Rattus norvegicus: one gene and its partner. The main gene of each other region encodes a partner of the protein of the gene in region 2 in a complex. Links are inferred from orthologs where the notes say so. Each region holds a gene or a part of one and is shown on either strand. Other genes may lie near its edges.

Evidence for each region.
Region 1: Ush1c (region 2) and Cdhr5 share a complex: the UniProt entries of both Homo sapiens proteins name them as parts of the IMAC/intermicrovillar adhesion complex. The link is inferred for Rattus norvegicus from reciprocal best matches to the Homo sapiens genes USH1C and CDHR5.

Annotation. Positions count from the first base shown.
Region 1 is NC_086019.1:205,800,724-205,810,655, reverse strand, and holds the end of Cdhr5 (cadherin-related family member 5 precursor), read left to right. Parts: intron 1-307; coding exon 308-358; intron 359-2,481; coding exon 2,482-2,574; intron 2,575-2,712; coding exon 2,713-2,814; intron 2,815-2,923; coding exon 2,924-3,034; intron 3,035-3,122; coding exon 3,123-3,293; intron 3,294-3,828; coding exon 3,829-3,919; intron 3,920-4,000; coding exon 4,001-4,098; intron 4,099-4,201; coding exon 4,202-4,402; intron 4,403-4,534; coding exon 4,535-4,648; intron 4,649-4,723; coding exon 4,724-4,808; intron 4,809-4,906; coding exon 4,907-5,482; intron 5,483-6,990; coding exon 6,991-7,151; intron 7,152-7,437; coding exon 7,438-7,902; 3' UTR 7,903-7,970; downstream 7,971-9,932. UniProt on the Homo sapiens protein: Intermicrovillar adhesion molecule that forms, via its extracellular domain, calcium-dependent heterophilic complexes with CDHR2 on adjacent microvilli. Thereby, controls the packing of microvilli at the apical membrane of epithelial cells.
Region 2 is NC_086019.1:105,860,434-105,870,912, reverse strand, and holds part of Ush1c (harmonin), read left to right. Parts: intron 1-3,843; coding exon 3,844-3,911; intron 3,912-4,363; coding exon 4,364-4,507; intron 4,508-4,612; coding exon 4,613-4,751; intron 4,752-8,165; coding exon 8,166-8,274; intron 8,275-8,382; coding exon 8,383-8,407; intron 8,408-8,575; coding exon 8,576-8,633; intron 8,634-8,900; coding exon 8,901-8,995; intron 8,996-10,479. UniProt on the Homo sapiens protein: Anchoring/scaffolding protein that is a part of the functional network formed by USH1C, USH1G, CDH23 and MYO7A that mediates mechanotransduction in cochlear hair cells. Required for normal development and maintenance of cochlear hair cell bundles.

The DNA of each region.
Region 1 (9,932 bases), about 100 Mb from region 2:
GGCATCCACTCCCCTAACCTGGGAAAGATTCAGGGAAAGAGGGACTGAAGGGATCTATATGCTCCTGGCAGTGAGGAGCCCTTTCAGGCCCAGTGGTTGGTTAGATGGTTGGTTGGTTGGTTGGTTGGTACTGAGGGGTAGGGCCATAAGGGGACAAAGTTGCCAAATGTCCCCTATACCCAGGATTTCCCACAGATGACTGGGGCGCTGGAGCGCTCCCTGCTCTCCTAGCTGTACTCTCCTATCCTATAGGAGGATAGTTCCCTATGTGGCAAGTGACTCATAGGGCCCCTGGCTTTATCCTCAGGAAAACTCTTTGCTGGAGGCAGTCCTGGAGTGTAAGAGAGGAGATACTTTGGTAAGTTAACCCCATTACCTGACCACCTGGGCCTTTTGTCAGAGTACCCCAAGACCACTCCTCCAAGACCTTACCCCCAGGGAGTCTGAACATCAACTCTCTCCTAGCCACTTCCATGATTCTTTTAGCCTAGATTCTGCCCTGAGCTCCAGACTCAAACTCAGCTAACGTAGAGCCCAGTATTAAGTCAGTACCTTGAGACCCTAAGTAGGCCCCTCACCCCTCACCTGGGAGACACCTTCACCTGCCAGCCACTTCTGATGTCACCCCATCCAAGGAACACTGTTGGCACGGTTGACTGTACCTCAGTTAGAGTCGGATTTACTCTTCCTACCTCTAGTCCGTCCCATGGGGCCCTGGCCAGTGGCTCTCCTTTCTGACCCTTCTTGCACATCCACTTGCTGTTCTTGTCCTTGGCCCTCCTCTATTCCCTCTCTACACAGGGAATCCCGAAAGCTCATAGCCACAACCCCATGCAGCCTCACAGAAACTTCCACATTTTCTTACTGGAAGTCAAAGTCAAATGCACAAGTGGGTGGGCAAGGCTGTGGTATGCAGACACTGACCTGGTGTGCAAATTCATTTTGATGCCTAACCCTCCTACTTTATACTGTCCCCTACCCTATCCCATACATCTTATCCTCCATCAATAGCCTTTTACTAAAGGACACTAGAAGAAGTAACAGGCCCCACACACTTCCTGCTTCACTGTGAGCAACTCTCACACCCTGCACTCCTGCCGGGCACCACGACATGTTACCCACACACATCTTGGCCTATGTCTCTAATAGATCATAATAATTAAAAACAAAACGAAATTCTTTTTTGGGTAAAGTTTAGTGTTAGACTTCTGTCTTAATCAGGGTTTCTATTCCTGCACCAATATTATGACCAAGAAGCAAGTTGGTGAGGAAAGGGTTATTCAGCTTACACTTCCACATTGCTGTTCATCACCAAAGGAAGTCAGGACAGGAACTCAAGTAGGTCAGGAAGAAGGAGCTGATGCAGAGGCCATGGAGGGATATTAGTTACTGGCTTTCTTTTTTTTCTTAAGATTTATTTATTTATTATGTATGAGTACACTGTAGCTGTCTTCAGACACACCAGAAGAGAGAGGGCATCAGATCCCATTACAGATGGTTGTGAGCCACCATGTGGTTGCTGGGAATTGAACTCAGGATCTCTGGAAGAGCAGTCAGCGCTCTTAACCACTGAGCCATCCCTCCAGCCCCATTGGGTTGCTTTCTTATAGAACCCAGGACCACTATCCCAGGGACAACACCATCCACAATGGGCTGGGCCCTCCCCTCTTGATCACTAGTTGAGAAAATGCCTTACAGCTGGATCTCATGGAGGCGTTTCCTCAACTGAGGCTCCTTTCTCTGTGATAACTCCAGCTTGTGTGAGGTTGACACACAAAACCAGCCAGGACAAATACCTGCCTAGTATGATTGAAGCCCTGTGCTCCACCTTCAACACACAAATATACTTCCCACACAGACACACAGACACACAAGAGACAGAGAGAGACAGAGACAGAAACAGAAAGACACAGACAGAGAGAGACAGAGAGACAGAGAAAGAGACAGAGACACAGAGAGACAGAGAGGCACAGAGAGAGCCCTGGCCTTGACATCTGTCACAGCTGAGAAGAGCAGCTTTCCGTCTCTGTCCTCCAGCACCTGGCTGTGTTCATGTCTCCCTGGGTCTCAGGAAGGGCTGTCATGGGAATGAGCTGTTTGCTTTCGACCTGAAGGCCCTTTTCCCACTATCCTTTTGGAGACCTGTTTTTGAAGTCGTGAGATGCTGTTTTTCTCCCTTTGATATTTTGCTGGTTGTGCCCCCAGGATTGTCATTCTCTCTCTTCAGCGCACCCACCACATGCACGTGGCCACACTCTAAAACTTGTCTTTACAGTTTGAGTGCATTCCTCCTAGAACAGGAGCTCCTAGGCCATCACATTGTTGATGCCACCAGTGTCTGTGGAATGAAAGACAAAGAATGACTGACTAACTGAATGGATGAATGAATGAATGAACAGATAAGAAGAGGAAGGAATGAATGATGGGGGGCATCAGAGCATTCTCCTCAGCCAGGGGCTGACCCTGGTGACTTTGCTGCAGGTGACACAGTTCAGGGTGTTTGTGGCTGTCCTGGACATCAATGACAATGCACCAGAATTCCCCTTTACAATCAAGGAATATAATGTATCGGAGGTGAGTCCAGTCTGAACCAGTGCTGTCTGAGTATGGGGAAGGCAGGGGGACACAGGGGTCTCTGGGAGACAACATCAGGGAGATCTATATACAGAAGCTACAGCATGGCTGGACCAACCTCTTCCTCTCCATCCCCAGGACACCAGAGTGAATACGATCGTCATCCCTGAGACAGAGCTGAAGGCTACAGATGCTGACAAAGATGACATCCTAGTCTACACTCTGCAGGAAGTGACCCCCGTCAGTGCTTCCCCATCCCCACACATTGCTGACAACCCCCACCCTTTCTGATGCCTCCAGGCCTCAGTTCATCCACCTTCCAGAGTCCAACCTTCTTCCCTTCCCACAGAATGCCAGCAAGTTCTTCTCCCTGGTGGGCATAAACTCCCCTGCTCTGAAGTTGGACCAGACTCTGGATTACTACAAGAGTCCGAACATGACCTTCAGGCTGCTGGCACGGGTAGGCAGATCACATCTTCCTGAGTCCTGGATGTTGTAGGCCCTGTCCACGCTGGGCCTAACCTATCAGGGGCTGGCTGTTACTACAGGATACTAGGGAAGAGAATGTAATTCCCAGCCATACGGCCACTGCCACCGTGGTCTTGAACGTGCTGCCAGCTGACCTACGGACCCCCTGGTTCCTGCCGTGCTCCTTTACGGATGACTACTTCTGCATTCAGGCCCAGTACCACACAGTTATCCCCACAGGACACAAACTGGTAATGGGAAGTGAGGAGGCCCAGGGTCAGACTTGAATCTAAGGCCAAGTCAGAAAATATTCAGGGTAGGGATCTGGCCGCCGTCCTGCACTCCTGGAGAGGCTTGTGGACAATTCTGTGATTTGTGAAACAAACCTGAATGAACAATTAATCAATCAATTAATCACCAATCAATCATTAAGTATCCTTCCCAGCCAGGTGGGGGTGGGGCATACAGACAAAAATCAGTGAGGAGTACATGTCGGCTGGGATGTGAGGAGCTCAGGGGCTGGGCTGATGCTGATAAGGATCTGCTAAGTCCTTGGTCAGCTGAGTCTCCTGAGGCCAGTGGTGTCCCTGGGCAGGCGGCATACACTGGGGCTACAACATTTCCTTCTTAGCTTCTTGTTGCCACTGAGTCCTGCTGTGGCTGCAGCTCTGTCCCAAGCAGGCACTGCTCCTCCCTCCAGGCTCCAATCCATGTTTCAGATCTTGAGGGACAACAAGAGAGTAAGAGCTGGGGCTCTTAAACCTCAAGATGTTCCTATTCTTACAGCCATCCCCTCTCATCTTGAGTCCTGGTCCCATCTATGCTGTGGACGGAGATCAGGCCATTAACCAGCCTATCGTCTACAGCATTATGATGGGTGAGTAACGGCTTAGCCCCACAGCACCTGGACCCCACAACAGAGGGACCAGACACCAAACTCCACCACGAATTCTCCCAGGAAACACGGATGACACATTTATCATCAACAAAGACGATGGCAACCTCACGATGGCCAAAAGTATCCCCAGCCCCATGACCTTCACCCTGGTGGTCAGGGTGGGTACCAGCACTGGATGAGAGAGGGGTCCCCTGTGGCCCCAGCTGTGGCCCCAGCTGCCTTAAATCCCAATACCCACTCCCGCTTCCCCTGACTCCTCAGGCTGAGCAGGCTGACATGGCTCGATACTCAGTGACTCAGGCCGTTGTGGAGGCTCGAGATGTCACTGGGAACCCACTCCAGTTCTCTCAGAGCCTGTACTTTGGCACGGTGGTACTGGGTTCTGAGGCTGGCACAGCAGTGAAGGACAAGACCTTCCCTTCAGAGATCCTGAGGATCCAGGCTCAGTACCTAGGCTTCCCGGTATGCAGTCCCTTCCTGTTTACCTACGAACCCTATAAGTATACCTGGACCCTCTGGCCTCCTCTCTCTGTGTAGACTACTTGGGATGGACTATAGAGTACCAGGCCTAGGTCTCACTGGAGTCTCATCTAGGACCTCAACTCGGCTGTCACATATCAAGTCACCAACTCCTCAGAATTCATCATGAATAAGGATATCTTGCTGACCACTGTGCCTATGGAGACAGAAAGAACAATCCGCATAGAGGTGGAGTGGGGATAAGGGGAGTAAGGTGTGGGGGTAAAAAGGGACCCAAGAGAACAAGTCCCTTTCCTGACCCAGGTAGAAGCTAACAATACTGTGACTAAAGACATAGCCACCACTATTGTGGAGATCCAGGTGTCAGAGCGAGAGCCGCCCTCCACAGGTGAGCACCCCCAGATCCCCAGGCAGGGTGGCTCCTCCTCTGGGACAGGCATATCTGGGGACAGAGGCAAACCCGAGTTCTGTACATGCCACCACCAGAGTCCCCCACACCCCCAGAAGCTGGAGGAACAACTGGGCCTTCAAGTAACACCACTTTGGAAACCCCCTCGACCTCTGGGACCTCTCAAGGACCTGCCACAACCAGCTCTGGGGGAAGTGCTGGCCCATTCCCACCTGCAGGCACAACTCTAAGCCCACTCACCTCTGCCCCAACTGTACCTGGGGGGTCCCCTACTCTTGGAATCAGCACCTCTCCCCAGACAGCTACTCCTGGTGGGGATGCAACACAGACCCCCAAACCAGGTACCTCTCAGCCAATGGTCCCCACTCCAGGGGCTAGCACCTCTTCTCAGCCAGCCACACCTAGTGGCAGCTCAACCCAGACCCCCAAACCAGGAACCTCTCAGCCAATGGTCCCCACTCCAGGGGCTAGCACCTCTTCTCAGCCAGCCACACCTAGTGGCAGCTCAACCCAGACCCCCAGGCCAGGAACCTCTCAGCCAATGGTCCCCACTCCAGGGGCCAGCACCTCTTCTCAGCCAGCCACACCTAGTGGCTCAACACAGACCCCCAAGCCAGGAACCTCTCAGCCGACAACCACTGGGCCCATATCAGGTAGTCTAACACGTTGCTCTGGAGTCACTGTCACCCTTAACTCAGACAGGGGTTCTAGGATGTGCTCTAGAAAAGGGTCCACCCGGGCTAGTCTGGCCTGACCACACTGACTATGGAGTCTGTGTCTAGCTCTAGACAGAGGGCACCAAGAGGTCATAATAGGTGAACTGAAGAAGGTACAGGGATACAGAAGCAGATTTTAAAGCCAGTGAGTCCCATAATTCCCAGGACAATCTGTATTTAGGGTCTTAGGTTAGGTAAGGGCACTATTCCAATAAGTAGGGAGAAACAAGATAAAAAAAAATGAATGTTATGGCTGTCAGAGTGTGCTAACAAATCCCTTTAATCCCAGCATTAGGGAGGTAGTGAAAGGCACACCTCTGTGAGTTTAAGTCTGGTCTAGCCAGGTCTACAGAATTTCACCCAGCTACAGAGAGAGAGAGAGAGAGAGAGAGAGAGAGAGAGAGAGAGAGAGAGAGAGAGAGAGAGAGAATATGTCTTAAAAATTTATGGCTGGATGTATTGATACATGCCTGTGATACTGGAGACACTTAGGCAGGAGGACCACTTAAGCCTAGGAATTCAGGGCTAGCCTGGGCAACATACTGAGGCAATTCTGCTAAAACAAAAACAAAAACAAAAAATCCAGGGCTGGGGAGATGACATACTTGGTAAAGTATTTGCCTTCCAAGCACGAGGACGTAAATTTGGTCCCCAGAAGCCACCTTATGCAGCTGAGCATTGGGATGTGTTGGGAAATCAGAGACAGAAAACCCTGGGGATTGCTGGCCAGGCGGCTTAGCCAGCTACAAGGCCAGCTGCAGGCCAGCGAGAGACCCTGACTTACAGAGTAAGACGCGGACTGGCAAGATGGCTCAGCGACTTGTCCGACAACCTGAGTCAGATCCCTGGGTCCTACAAATGCAGAAAACTGGCTTCTGCAAGTTTTCCTCTGACCACGACATGCACCATGACATGCAGCACCGACACAAATACACACATAAATAAACTTAACACACGCACACACAAGAGGTTCCTACCGAAAGGTCTTTAACTGGTCACTCAGCTGTACCCACTGAACCTCGGAGTGTACAGGGTGACAAGGGGCCAGGCACAGCTAGCTGTCCCATGGAAGTGATCACCAGAGGCAGCTCTCCATGACTAACTTCTGCAAGTGTCACTGAGCCCTGCTCTGGTCTAAGTACAATGTGTATTCAAAATTGTGGTTGATGGCACATAAGTCAGAGGTCACCATAACTGTTTGCAGTGTGCCCTTGGAGGCCATCCTGGTGAATCAGAGGTCGGTGGTCATGTTACCAGGGGCTGTGGTATCCCCCAGGCAGGCTCCCTGCTGGAGGTAATAGCACCCATTCTCAGAACCTCAAGTCTAGATGGTGGGCCAGGAGAGGCCCGTCTTGTTCTTATGGTACCTCAGCCTGGCCCAGGGTGGGAAGGGAAGTTCTTAGGAGTGTTCCTACGGTAAGTGGCCATGGTCTCTTGGATACCAGGAGTAGGCGAGCTGGGTGATGGCCAGAGATTTTCCACGGTGGACATGGCAGTGTTGGGCGGGGTGCTAGGGGCACTGCTGTTGCTGGCCCTCATCTTCTTGATCATCCTCATCCATAAGCACTACCGACATCGGTTCACTTGCTGCTCTGGCAAGGCAAAGGTAAGGGTCTCTGGTTGGGTACTGGGTGAGGTAAAGTAGAAAGCAGACTAATAGGGCTGAGGAGTCACAGAAAAGGGACATGGAGGGATGAGTGGGAACAGCTGGGGAAAACAGGGCTTTATGAGGGAAAGAATCAGAGGTAGGCCAGGATGGGTGTTCTGACACCAAGTGGTAGGGGTGGGGTTCAGGGGAAGAGTGGGAGCCAAGCCGTGGGAGAAGGGTTCAGAAGGCACTTGTGGGAGTCATATCATTGCTGCTGATGCCTTTGTCCTTACTCCACCCTTAGGAGCCACAGCCAAGTGGCTATGACAACCTGACCTTCCTCCCAGACAACAAGGCCAAGTGGTCACCCACCTCCAACCGGAAGCCAGAGCCGGGCCCTGAGCCTGTCCAGCCGCCCCTCCGGCCTCCTAGTCCCATGTCTTCCAGTCCCACGCCCCCCAGCTCCATGCCTCCTAGCCCTCAGCCCAAAGCTTCCGGGTCTCCCAAGACAGTCCAGGCAGGGGACAGTCCTTCAGCCGTGAGGTCTATCCTGACTAAGGAGCGGCGGCCGGAGGGGGAGGGCGGCTACAAGGCTGTGTGGTTCGGCAAGGACATCGGGGCAGAGGCTGATGTGGTGGTTCTCAACGAACCCACCGCCGACGTGGACAGCGCCAGTGCCTCGGGAAGTGAGGGGAGCGATGATGATGATGACCCTGACCAGAAGAAGAGTCTCCGCCTTGGCGCAGTCGCAGACAACACTTACGTCTAGCTCAGCGCCCGGACTCTCCGCCCCAAGCCACTCCCCTTTCCTCCTCTAATTAAAGTAGCACTTTCGAATTCCGGAGTCTTACGGTGGTGGGAGGAAACACGGCGGTGGGAAGAACACGTGCCATGGGTGTGAGAGCCCAGCTGCGGTTTCCGGGTGGCTAGCCGCTGGAAAGTTCCCATTGTAGCCAAGGGGGAAGAGAGAGGTCTTCGCTAGAGATCTCCAGCTCCTTGCCCAAGATGGATAGCTTCACTTGAGGGAGGGAAGGAGCCAGAACCGTCCATTCCACATGTACATTCATTTGGGAGAGGTGGTCCTTGGGATCTTCCTGAGTGTCACAGCCCATTTCAAAGGTCTGGCCAGGAGTGGTGGCTCCCATAATCCCAGCATTTGGGTGGACAGAGACAGGTGGATCTCTGTGAGTTTGAGGTTAACCTAGTCTCCATAGTGAGTTCCAGGGAAGGGAAAACTATGAGGAGAGAGCATTTCTGGGGGGTGGGTGGGGCTGTTTCCGGCAATGACCAGGGCACTCTGCCCCACACAAAAGGTTTAGACGAGAAACAGGGACCTACAGGTCATGTCCGTGAGTGGAGGGAATCCAGGGCTGTGGAAGTTAACACAGCTCTCTGGGTCTGCTTCCTAGGAGTGCACACCACACTGAGTTTCTTCCTGAACAGTAGTCATGGCATGTTTTCTAATGAAAAGTGACCCCGATGATTTCCTTTCCAAGGTTTTTATTTCCTTCCAGTGTTTGAATACTTTTAAATTGGCAGTTTTGGGCATTTAGACAGTGTAGCTTTCGGCTTTCATTTTGACTGGTGATTTTCATGCCCAGTCTCTCCTGTCATTTTCTTTCCCCCTTGTTGGAACCCTTCTCAGCCAGCCTCCCTCCTACTTTCGTCTTCTCAGTATCCCCCTGAGTTTAACTAGTTTCTATTTAAAATTTTTGTTGGTTTTGGTGTTTTTAAAAAAATTACTTGGGGCTGGAGAGATGGCTCAGTGGTTAAGAGCACTGACTGCTCTTCCAAAGGTCCTGAGTTCAAATCCCAGCAACCACATGGTGGCTCACAACCATCTGTACTCTTCTGATGTGTCTGAAGAGCGCTACAGTGTACTTATATATAATAAATAAATAAATCTTTAAAAAATTACTTTTATGTGTATTAGTGCATGATCTACACACATATCTGTATGAGGGTGTCAAATTTTGGAGTTACAGTTGTGAGCTGCCATGTGGGTGTTGGGATTTGAACCCCAGTCCTCTAGGAAGAGCAGTCAGAGCCCCTGACTACTGAGCTATTTCTTAGTTTTAGCTTCTTGACCCAGCTGGAACAAGAACAATTTATCACTAAATATATGACCCCCCTTCCCCTAGAGGTAAATTGCTAATAGTGGGGGAGGGGCACCGGGCCCCTCCCACACCTATGATGAAATGTTACCGGGACCACTTTTGTGGTGGTCTTGTGCAGTGAGTTCACAGGTGGAATGGCTATGTCTTGCTCAGAGACATATTTTGCTGTACAACTCCATTTTCGGGCATTCGTTCTTTGTACACCACCTTGGGAGATGTCCCTTGAGCCTTGGAGAGGGTGACAGAGACGGCTCCAGCATCGCTTATTCTTTGCTCTTGGGCCAGTTACAGGATTCTACCCACTGTAATGAGAAGGTTCTCTTATGAAGGATGGACACAATCCTAGACTGTGGTGATATCATGTGTATGAGTGCATCTGCCAGAAGAGGGCATCAGATTCCATTATAAATGGTCGTGAACCAACATATGATGGCTGGGAATTGAATTGATTCTGGAAGAGCAGCCAGGGCTCTTAACTACTGAGCAGTGTCTCCAGCTCCCAGGGTCTTACTCTTTAAAGCAGGCTGGCCCCAACCCTTCTGCTTCAACCTCTCCCTGGATGGTATATTCTTATCTGTACCATTCTCAGTGTTAAGCCAAATTGTACCATAGCCTCTCTTTAGACTCCATTTTCTAAGACTTTTCTGCAAGCTAAACAAAACAAACAAACTGTTGTGGATAT
Region 2 (10,479 bases):
GACGGAAGGAAAGTTCCAGAAACAAGCAGATGGAGTTCAGGATGGGCATCTGCAGCCATGCCATGTGCTTTGGGAGCCACAGGGAAAGAGATCATAGACAGGGACAGAAGAGGAAGGAAATGAAATGTCAAGACCTACTATGTGCTGGGTATTTCTTATATTCCTAGAATGGTTCCCAGTGCCTGGAGCAGGGCCTCATAAACCTAATTTTTGGAGTAGCATTAGGGAGAATACCAGGAGAAGACAAGTCTATAGAATTTGAAAAACGTGGTTTTATTTTATATTATTTTTATCTCACATGCATTTGTGTTTTACCTGCATGTCTGTGTGAGGGCACCAGATTCCCTGGAACTGGAATTACAAACAGGTCTGAGCTGCCATGTGAGTGCTGGGAATTGAACTCAGGTCCTCTGGAAGAACACCCAGTGCTCTTAACCACTGAGCCATCTCTCCAGCCCCATGGAAACATCCTTAAGGGCAGCTTGAGTGATGGTGGCACTGTTAACTCACAGCCAGACTTCCAGAGGCTTCCATATTTCTTTTTCCTTTGTGACTTTGGAAGTCTGCAGAATGAGGGAACAAATGTGTCCTCGCGTCTCCTTGGAGACGTTTCTGGGGTGTGCGTGGTCCCTCTATTTCTGAAGCCCCCCGTCATTCGCCTTCACATTCCAACCTCAGAGCAGTCCAAGCAACACTGCCTCCTTGGAATGTGATTCTGAAAGGGCGAGTTAGACATTACAAGAGAGGATGTGCCTGCTGGGTGATGGCACACGCCTTTCATCCCGGCACTCTGGAGGCAGACGCAAAACGATGGATCTCTGTGAGTTGGAGGTCAGCCTGCTCTACAAAGTGAGTTCCAGAACGGCCAGGGCTATACAGAGAAACCCTGTCTCAAACAAAACAAAACCAAACAACAAAAATACAAAGCTGGGGTGGGAGAGGTGGAGGTGGCATCATCAGGGAAGGGTCTGTTGTGTCCAGGGAAATGCTAGTCTAGTTATAGCCTGAGGATATGCAGGACATGGAGATGTCCCTGCAGAAGTGGATAAGCCTGGGTAGGGTTGGTGTGAGCTTCCTGGCCATGCAGAACTGGGCCTGCAGGCTCCCTCTGAAATGGACAGGTCGGGTGTGGTTTATAGGTGGGGCCCAGAATGCAGCATTCAACATTTAAGAGCTGTTCCTGAGTCCCGGGCCCCAGGAACAAGGCTGCTTTCTAGGAAGACCATCTCAGGGTGCCTGTGCTTGACTCTAAGAAGGCAGAAAGATAGACTCCTGAACCCTAAAGTTGCCAAGTCCTCTCCAGGTTCCTCCCCTGACATTCTAATCTTCAGTCAGTGCATATTAATGTTACCCGTGAGGGTAGCCTCTTTCTGCTTAAACCTAAACACGTAGCCGATGCGTGCAATTCTCCACAGCTCAGCCCCTCTCCTGTCCTTCTCCAGTCCCCACCCATGGCTAGAATCAGACACAATGTTCTCTTCAGCTTAAAAGACAGGGTGTTATACTTCCACTGAAGAACAGAAACAGAACCACCAGGATTCTGAGCGTCTCTTAAAAGATGTTCCTCTTTCTTCCTCATTATGGACCAAGTGAATTGGTAACTGTGTGTGTGTAGGGAGTGGGCATCCTGGGTATCAATCTTAGAGTCTCATGTATGCCGGGAAACACTTTACCTCTGAGCTCACCCCCTGCCCCTTACCAAGCTTCCATAACTGCAAAAAGTTAGGTATAGTGGTGCACAACTTAATCCCAGAACCCAGAAAACAGAGGCAGGCAGATTTCTGAAACATTAAGTTCCAGGACAGCCAGGGCTACATAGTAAGGCCTTGTCTTAATAACACGCACACGCACACACACACACACGCACGCACACCAGTGGAGAGGAAAGAGGTAAGGATTAGAGACTTGGATGTTAGGTTCCAAAGGGGACTTGGGTGTTCTTTGTCTCGAAGGCCAAAGCCCTACCAGACGTGGCACAACAGCGAGAAAGTAGGCTTGGAATCTTGCTCTGCTCTGCTTGGTGGCTGTGGCCTTGGGTCACTTCTGCCATACTCCCTGGTTGTGGTATGAGAATAAGGGTCAGACGGGGCTGATGCTTTGAACGAATGTCACTAGGAGCTCCTGGGAGCGGAGCGAGAGTCATTTCCCATCCCCCTCTGACCCCATGGCTCTCATTCCTGAAGAACATGGCCAGGCCTAGAAGCAGAGAACTGATAAATCCACTCAAGACTTATTTATTGAGTATTTACTCTCAGTTAGTCATGAGGACTGCAGACTGGAGCTGATCTGCACCTTTCTTTCCTTCATTAAGACAAATTCCAAAAGGTTATGGCCCTTACGTTAACAACGATTAGTAATTTCCCAGGAGATCAGGTATTGCTCAGAGGTGGGAGTAGGTTGGCTATTAGAGAAGCTTTCCATGGGAAAGAAGCCACTGTGCAAGTAAAGGGGGATGCAGCGTAACCCTAAGTCTGGGGCTGTGGGCAGTCTGGCTCATACGAGAAGCTAAAAGGGGTGTACACAGCCGGAGAGTGGCAGCCCAGGACAAGGACTTGAGTGAATCGAGAAGGGGTTTTGTGGGACTCTTTTCCCCAAGATGACGGTTACCCTAGAGCCTCTTGAGTGACAGCTAAGCTCTCCGACACTGAGCTACATCTCCACCCCTTGGCTTGGATCTTTACATGCATCAAGAAGCCATGAGGCACGCAACTGACATGATTTATATATGAAGCTTTTCTGGTGCTGGTCCTAGTGATTTAGCACCATCTATGATGCCCTTTCCCCATCTCTTAGCTGTTGGGAGCTTCCACAGTAAGGACAGAGGGTGCAGCTGGGGGAGCTTCCACAGTCACTGTCACACACTCTTTGAACCCTTGGAGCTCAGCCTGGGGCACAACCTTCTGGGTTCCTCCTGTCCTCAGTCAAATGCAGTCATAGGAGAAAGAAGACTTCCAAATCGAAACTGGGAATCTGCCCAGGTCCAAAGTCCCAAGGGCTAGGCCTCACAGTCCTCTCTACACTGGGGCAGACAGACTCTCTGGAGTCTTCTAAAGTCCTTAAGACACCGGTTGAGAAGGCATCGTCCTGCCCCAAGCTCTAGGAAGGCAGGAGATCACAGTTTCTCCTGTGAAGGGCAGAGACTGGGACTACAATGGTAATGAGCCCTGCCTTGCCTTGATGTCTAGTCTTGGGCTAAAGAGAAAGCCAGGGATGCAGCCCTTGGAGTGTTGCCCTGAACTTTCTTTCCGAAGTACAGAATTTGGGACTCCCAGCTCCCCAGCCCAGCTCCCCAGCTCTCCAGCTCCCCAGCTCCCCAGGAACAGAGGTGCTACTGAAACAGCTCCTGTACATGACCTTGGAGCCCTAGCTATTGACGTCAGCAAAAGCCAGAATGCTGTAACCTAATCCTCCCCCTGGGGGGGACACTGGGGATAGAGGAGTGGCCTGGAGGCTGAATAGTGGACAGAACCCCAGGTCAGGACAGGGCCAAGTGCATGGGCAGCACAGAGAGATTTGACAATAAGGTGCTTCTGCTAGGTGGGATGTGTTATCTGAGTGAGTGGCCCAAATCCTTCCTCAAAGCATTTATCCGCCACTACAGCCACCATCAGGTGAGACTGTAGGCTTCGTCCCGACACTGGTGACACAGCCGTGAGTGTGACAGCAGTGACATGGGAGTATGCCATTGTTGAGCGGGGGTCCATGTGTGCACATCTGCGTTCAACCTGTGTGTGCCTCTATCACCTTGTCTGGGGATAAGATGCTTCTGGGTTATTCATGGATGTGAGCATGCTGGGTGCACAGGGGACCTGCAGCTCTAATTCTGCTCCTTGGAATTTCCAGGTGGATTTTCTCATTGAAAATGACGCGGAGAAGGACTATCTTTATGACGTGCTGCGGATGTATCACCAGTAAGTGTGTGTCTGCGTCGCCAAGCCCAGGCAGGCCATCTGTGCCATGGGAACCCAGAGTGGGTAATGTCCTAAGACAGCACGTGCTCCGTGCTCCTGAGGACGCACATATAAGCTGCTCTTACTTGCTCGCATCTTCTGTGTGCGTTTACATGAACAGTTCCTACTTGGCTCTGGACTGGGGTTCAGGGTATACTGTGAGCAAGAAGGACTGGTCTGTGTCCTCGGGATGCTCCCAGTCTGATAGGGCAGCTACCCAGATAGGTTCAAGAGGATATGAATATTCAGAGAGAACAAGAAGTAGCTGTCCCCATGCCACTACATCTGTTGGTCTCTGGTCACCCAACTTGCTTTAGATTTTCAGTGCCTGTTTATAAACTCTGCTAAGGCCCAGCAGTGCAGGGGTGGGACAAAGGTCATAGCCACTCACCCAACCTCTGACATCTCTAAAGGACCATGGACGTGGCTGTGCTCGTGGGAGACCTGAAGCTGGTCATCAATGAGCCCAACCGCCTGCCACTCTTCGACGCCATCCGGCCCCTGATCCCACTGAAGCACCAGGTGGAGTATGACCAGCTGACACCCCGACGCTCCAGGTGCATCCAGTCCCCAAGTCAGAGGCCAGGCCTGGGAGGGGCCAGCCTGGGAACACAGGGTTAGCCTGAGCTGGACCATAACCAACCCCCCCATGACTGTAACAGGAAACTGAAGGAGGTGCGTTTGGACCGTCTGCACCCAGAGGGCCTTGGCCTCAGCGTGCGTGGAGGCCTGGAATTTGGCTGTGGGCTCTTCATCTCCCATCTCATCAAAGGTGGCCAGGCAGACAGCGTTGGGCTGCAGGTAAGTCAACAGAGCCAGTAGAATGGGGCCAGGGCCTCAAATGCCCTGTCTCCTCCTGATCCACTCTGTGTTACAATGTGGACACACATTTTCTTAAGCCTTTGAGGAAGGAAGGGAGTGTTTGGAATCCTTCAGAATACAGAAAATGCTCTCTCTCTCTCTCTCTCTCTCTCTCTGTGTGTGTGTGTATGTTGTGTGTGTGTGTTTGTGTGTGTTCATGCATACCAGGCAAGCACTCCACCACTAAACTGAGTGTGTCCGTGTGTCTATGTATCTGTGTCTACCCTCACACATAAACATTCCACCACTAATCTCTATCCGGCCCTTGCCTGCTTTCTTGAGTCAAGTCAAGAGCCTGACTGCTGCTTCTTGATACTGCTACTGAGCCCCTCCCCAAACCTCCTACTTCCTGAAGGAGGAGCAGGGTTAAGGCGGGCACCCGCAGCTTGGTACGGCCACCTTTTAGTCTAATGCACTGATGTCTATGAAGACAGACACTGCCTCTGGACCATCCCATTCTACTCCTGGCCTTGGACCTCACTTTCCCCCCTCTGTAAAGCCGTATCAGGCTGTTGGAAAAGCAGGGGTGTAAATGAGACAGTCACCACAGCTTCTTGATACACCAGGGCTGTGAGACTGACAGATCCATACAGAGCGGGGACCTGATGACCACCTCCAACGAGTCAGTACACATCACACGAGTCAGCCCCACTCTAGAGTGTTCACAGAAGGGCAGGGGCCAATGAGCAGCAGAGCCAGGCTTTGAACTTGGGTCTCCTGGAGCCAAGTCAGCACCCCAGGCTTCTCCCCTGCAGTTCCTCCCCACGTCCCTGTCTAAGCAGAGGTAGGCAGGCCTCCAGGACTAAAGGCTGTTTTTGTCTATCCAGGTAGAGAAAGTTCCAGAGATTTTGCTATCAACATCCCCACCGGGGGACGAGCCAGGGGCTTCAGGGGGCTCTAGGGCTAATGGTGCGAGACCAAGGAGGAGGGGGTGGGGACAGCAAGCTGACAGTCAAGGCTTTGTTCGCAATCCGTGTCTCAGGGCTCCGGGTGGCATCTGAAATTTCAGCCCTCTCATTGTTCTTTCCCTCCGTGGCACATTTTCCAGCCCAGAAACACGGCCAGAGGAGAGAACATAATGAGTTCCCCCTTTAGGGACGGCTGGGCCCCCCTTTTTTCCAGCACAAGCACTCCTCTGAGGACAAGCGCTTCCCTGCAGAGCCTCATGAAGGAGGGCATCAGGGCACGCTCAGGAAACCCAGGCATCCAACTTCCCACCTGCTTCTCAGGCTTATGAAATAGCGCTCCCCTTTCCGGGGCTGTGGGGCCCATCTTTTCTTTGTCCCTCAGATTGTCATGTTACTATGAGCTCCATACAAAGACTCTTTTGCAGGGTTCTGTGTAGAGCAAGGAGTAGAGGGAAGTTGATCCTGCAACCCTATCCAGGGGCCATGGGGGAATCACTCCGACTAGGGTCCCTGGGAAGTTCCTGTGGTAGCAATACAGGGAACTCCACTCAGGAGGAGCTAGGAGAAAATCACCTTCATCCACTGACCAAGCCATCAAGTTTCTCGTGCTGGGGGACAGCACAGAGAAGATTCTAGAAGTCAAGAGGGATTTGCCCTGAGACGCAGGGGGCCCTGCAGGGGCTTGAACCCTCCAACAGGTCCTAGTCCTGGGACTTCAGCCACACGGCTCCTGTCCCTTCCTGGATACTTAAGGATTCTTCATACCTTCCTTATGTTTAACTGTGTCCTTTACTGATGTAAGCATGTAACTGGCTGTTTACTTATGGAGAAAATGGTTCTGCCTGCCTTCCCTCTCCCTGCTGTAAGACGTACAGAGTAATCCCTGCCTTCTGTGGGACTCCAGGGCTCTGAACAAAAGGCAGGACTCCACAGCAGGCAACACGCAAGGAACTGCACCCAGGCTTGGCCACCTAGCCTCCTTTCCCAGACACCTGAAAGCCGACGTGTGTTGTCTGTCCTGGAGTCCTGACGACATCCCAGCAGCCTCCTCACTCACTGAGTGGCTTTGAACAAATCACTTCGCCTCCCTGATCCCCTGTCTCTTCACTGTGGTCCCACATAAAGACCTTTTGGCGGGTTCTATGCAGAGCAGGAACACGAGTTCCTGCCCTTTGGAGTTGTAAAAAATTAGGTGCAGGGAGCTATCCAGATGTTCTATTGAAAGTCGGTGTCCCCAGGATTGCTGCAGGTTCTTTAGTGAGCCCCACTATCGGGACACTGAGAAGGTGGCCGTTCAGAGTGGCACGCCCTTTCCTGGTGGTAATGAGAGGTAACTGTAGATTATAGGCTGGGAACTGACCTGGAGACCGTGTGCCCTCAGAGTCTACCCTGAGGCCCCCACGTATACCAACCTTTCTCCAAGAGACCAGTAATGGGGTATCAGGGAGTCACAACCTCAGCCTGCATGACACCTGAGCTCGTTTCCCTCGTGGCAGCCACTGCCTTCATGTCCTTGGGCAATACACCATTGTCTCACATCCCTATCCTGTCTCTTGCCCATTCCTACCTCAGCACCCGGTCTTCTCTCAGGAGATGTTGATAGCCAAGGATCCTTTGACTTTTTGGTGGAGGTAGCAGTGAGGACCAGCAGGGGGCAGTCTCATCATGCGCTGCCTCTTTGAAGGCCTCTAATAATAACAACTGTTTATTAAGAACCTGCTGTGGGCCCCGTACTGGCTGGCCTTACACACTTACACATATGTTTGTTTAACCCTCATTAACTCCATGGTATTCCCTGTTTTATATGAAAGAAACTACGGTTTACAGAATCCAAGAGACTTGACTCCTGCCGTAAAATAATAGGAATTTTAAAAGGATTCGAGCCTGGGAGAACCAAAGCATAGCGCCCTGTGTTCGTTCCCTTTCCTTTGCCTGCTCCCAGAATCAAGATTCAGAAGTTGGTTTAACGTCATTGAGTTTCCATGGGATGGGATTACTCTTATGTTAGTGCTGTGAGCTTGGGTCAAGGGTCATGGGTCCCCATTTTGGCTCACCGCGGGTGTAGGTAACAGATAGAGACAAAGGCCTGCTTCTAGGACAGGGAGGAGCGAAGACCAGATGGGGATGTTGGATTCCAGAACCTGATTGCCCCTCGGTGGGGTGACCGAGGTACCAAGAGATGGGGACAGAGTTCTAAATCTTGCCTCAGTTCTGTTTCTCACCAACTGCATGCTTCTCCCCAGCCCAGATCTTGCTTTCTCCATCCTGAAACTGAAAACTGTGGCCTTCCACTACCAGAGGGTAGTTCGGCTGCGACACCGTGCTAGAGCACAGATTAAAGCTCTTGCTTGGTGACAGCCCCTTCTGGGGTTGGGAACATCTGCTAGTGGGCCTGCCCCCCCGCTTGGCACTCTCCCCCATGCCTGTCACATCTCTCTGTGTCCAGGTAGGGGACGAGATTGTCCGGATCAACGGCTATTCCATCTCCTCCTGCACCCACGAGGAAGTCATCAACCTGATCCGCACCAAGAAGACTGTGTCCATCAAAGTGAGACGTGAGTGAGGCCAGATAGGAGTGGCACTTTGTGATGGGGGGTAGATGGGAGGTGGTCCCAACCCCAAGGGCCTAGGAGCTTATCTAACCTACTGTATCTTCCCCACAGACATCGGCCTGATCCCTGTGAAGAGGTAAGCAGGCCTATCTGTGAGTCTCCTGCAGGCCAAGAGTCCTGCGGTCTGCCCCGCCCCCAGGCCATGAACTAGCATTGCTCTTGGGCTGAGGTGGCCAAGTGACACAGATCCCAGCTCCCTCAAGTGTGCTTACTGGCTCCACCTTCTCCGTTGCTTTCTCCTCAGCTCCCCCGAGGAGCCCCTCAAGTGGCAGTATGTGGATCAGTTCGTGTCGGAATCTGGAGTAAGAGACTACCTGCCAACCTGCCATAGGGGTTGGGCAGCTGGCCTTGGAGGAGGGATGGCTCTGGGGAGTATAACCTAGGATTTCCCATAGGCCGCTAGGGTACCTGGCACACCCCCCATGGCATGGTAGGCCTTCAGACCCACACCCCAAGGATATGGTGTCTCCAGTCTCTGTGAATGTCCGGTACTTAATCTGGAGGTCTCAAGCTCAAAAGGCCACTTGAATGCATGTAAACCCAGTAACCTGATCCTGTCCCTCCCTCAGGGTGTTCGAGGTGGCTTGAGCTCACCTGGCAATCGAACAACCAAGGAGAAGAAGGTGTTTATCAGTCTAGTAGGTTCTCGGGGCCTGGGCTGCAGGTAGGTAGCAGGCATGCTTGGCTCAATCACCAGGCTTTAGGTGGGTGGCATGCCCTGGACTCAGTGACATCCTGTGGACCTCGGGCTCCCCAGCACTTTCTCTCCCTTTCCTCGCCACTGCTCCTGAGGATTCTTGTCCACTGGCTATGGGTCTTGTGCACTGATGATGATGCAGAATTTGAGAGCCAGAGATAGAACTCCACTCCCTTTCATCATTCAAAAATACTAGGCATCTGCCATAGTTCTCTTGTCACCAGTGGTTCTGGAAACCTTCCCATAAGAGGGGCCAGCAAAGCCCATAACTAGCACCATCAGAGAGCTCTGAGGCTAGCCTTGGGTCGCTAGACCCTGACTCATAAAATAAAGCAATGAACAACCGCGCATAGGCGCTTCGGGCTGTGTGTAGTGGTTGAGATGCAGGTGCTACAGTTGCTGGGATACCTGTTCCACCCCCACCAGACCATGTGTCAGCCCTCAGACCTGGGGCAGTGACTGAGCCTCAGGCCACTCTGAGCCCCAGTCTCTTCCTCTACAAATACGCAGGAGGCATAATAGTAAGTCACAGTGCTGTTATTGAAAGAAAAAACAAAAAACAAAAAACAGCATTGCATGTTCTAGACCCAGCAAGTAGTAAGCAGCTGATAAATTTTAGTTATTATTAATTAAGTTGTTCTTATTTATTTGCATTTATCTAACACTTTTTACAATATATTTTTTAATTTTAAAATTTTTATGTGTGTGTGTGTGTCTGTGTGTGTGTGTATGCACTTGATTGTGGGTGCTCACTGGGGCCAATAGAGGGCGCTGGATCCTCTGGAGTTACAGGTGGTTGTGGGCTGCCCAATATGGGTGCTGGGAACCAAACACTGGACTTCTCTTCATGAGTATCAATTGCTCTTAACTGATAAGCCATCTTTCCATCCCCAGAAATTGTTTTGTTTTGCTTTGATTTGATTTGATTTGCTTTTGAGACAGGGCCTTACTGTGCAGCCCTGGCTGGCCTCAAACTCACAGAGATCTGCTGGACTTTACATTCCAAGTGCTGAGAATTAAAGGTGTGGACCACCGCGTCTGTCTCCATAAATGGCTTTTAATGTCTGTCCTTGGGTGTGAGGATATAGCTTAGCTGGCTCAGTGCTTGACAAACATACACCAAGGCCATTAGCACTATATGGACAGAGCGTGCTGGTGCACGCCTGTAAATCTAGCACTTGAAAAATGGAGGCAGGAAGACCAGGCACCCAAAGTTAAGTAACCTCACCTACATAGTGTTTGATCCTAGTCTGAACTAAATGAGATAAAAAAACAACAACAACAACAAAAAAAAAAAGTAAAATTTTAACTCTCCCTTTTTTCTGGGAGATGGCAATCTAACATAGGATTAGCCGCACAGATAGTTACAGTGTTGCCTAATATAGATGTTAACCCCACAGACAGTTACAATGTTGTGTGATAAAGATGCTGTGGAGCTACACCCTCCCTCA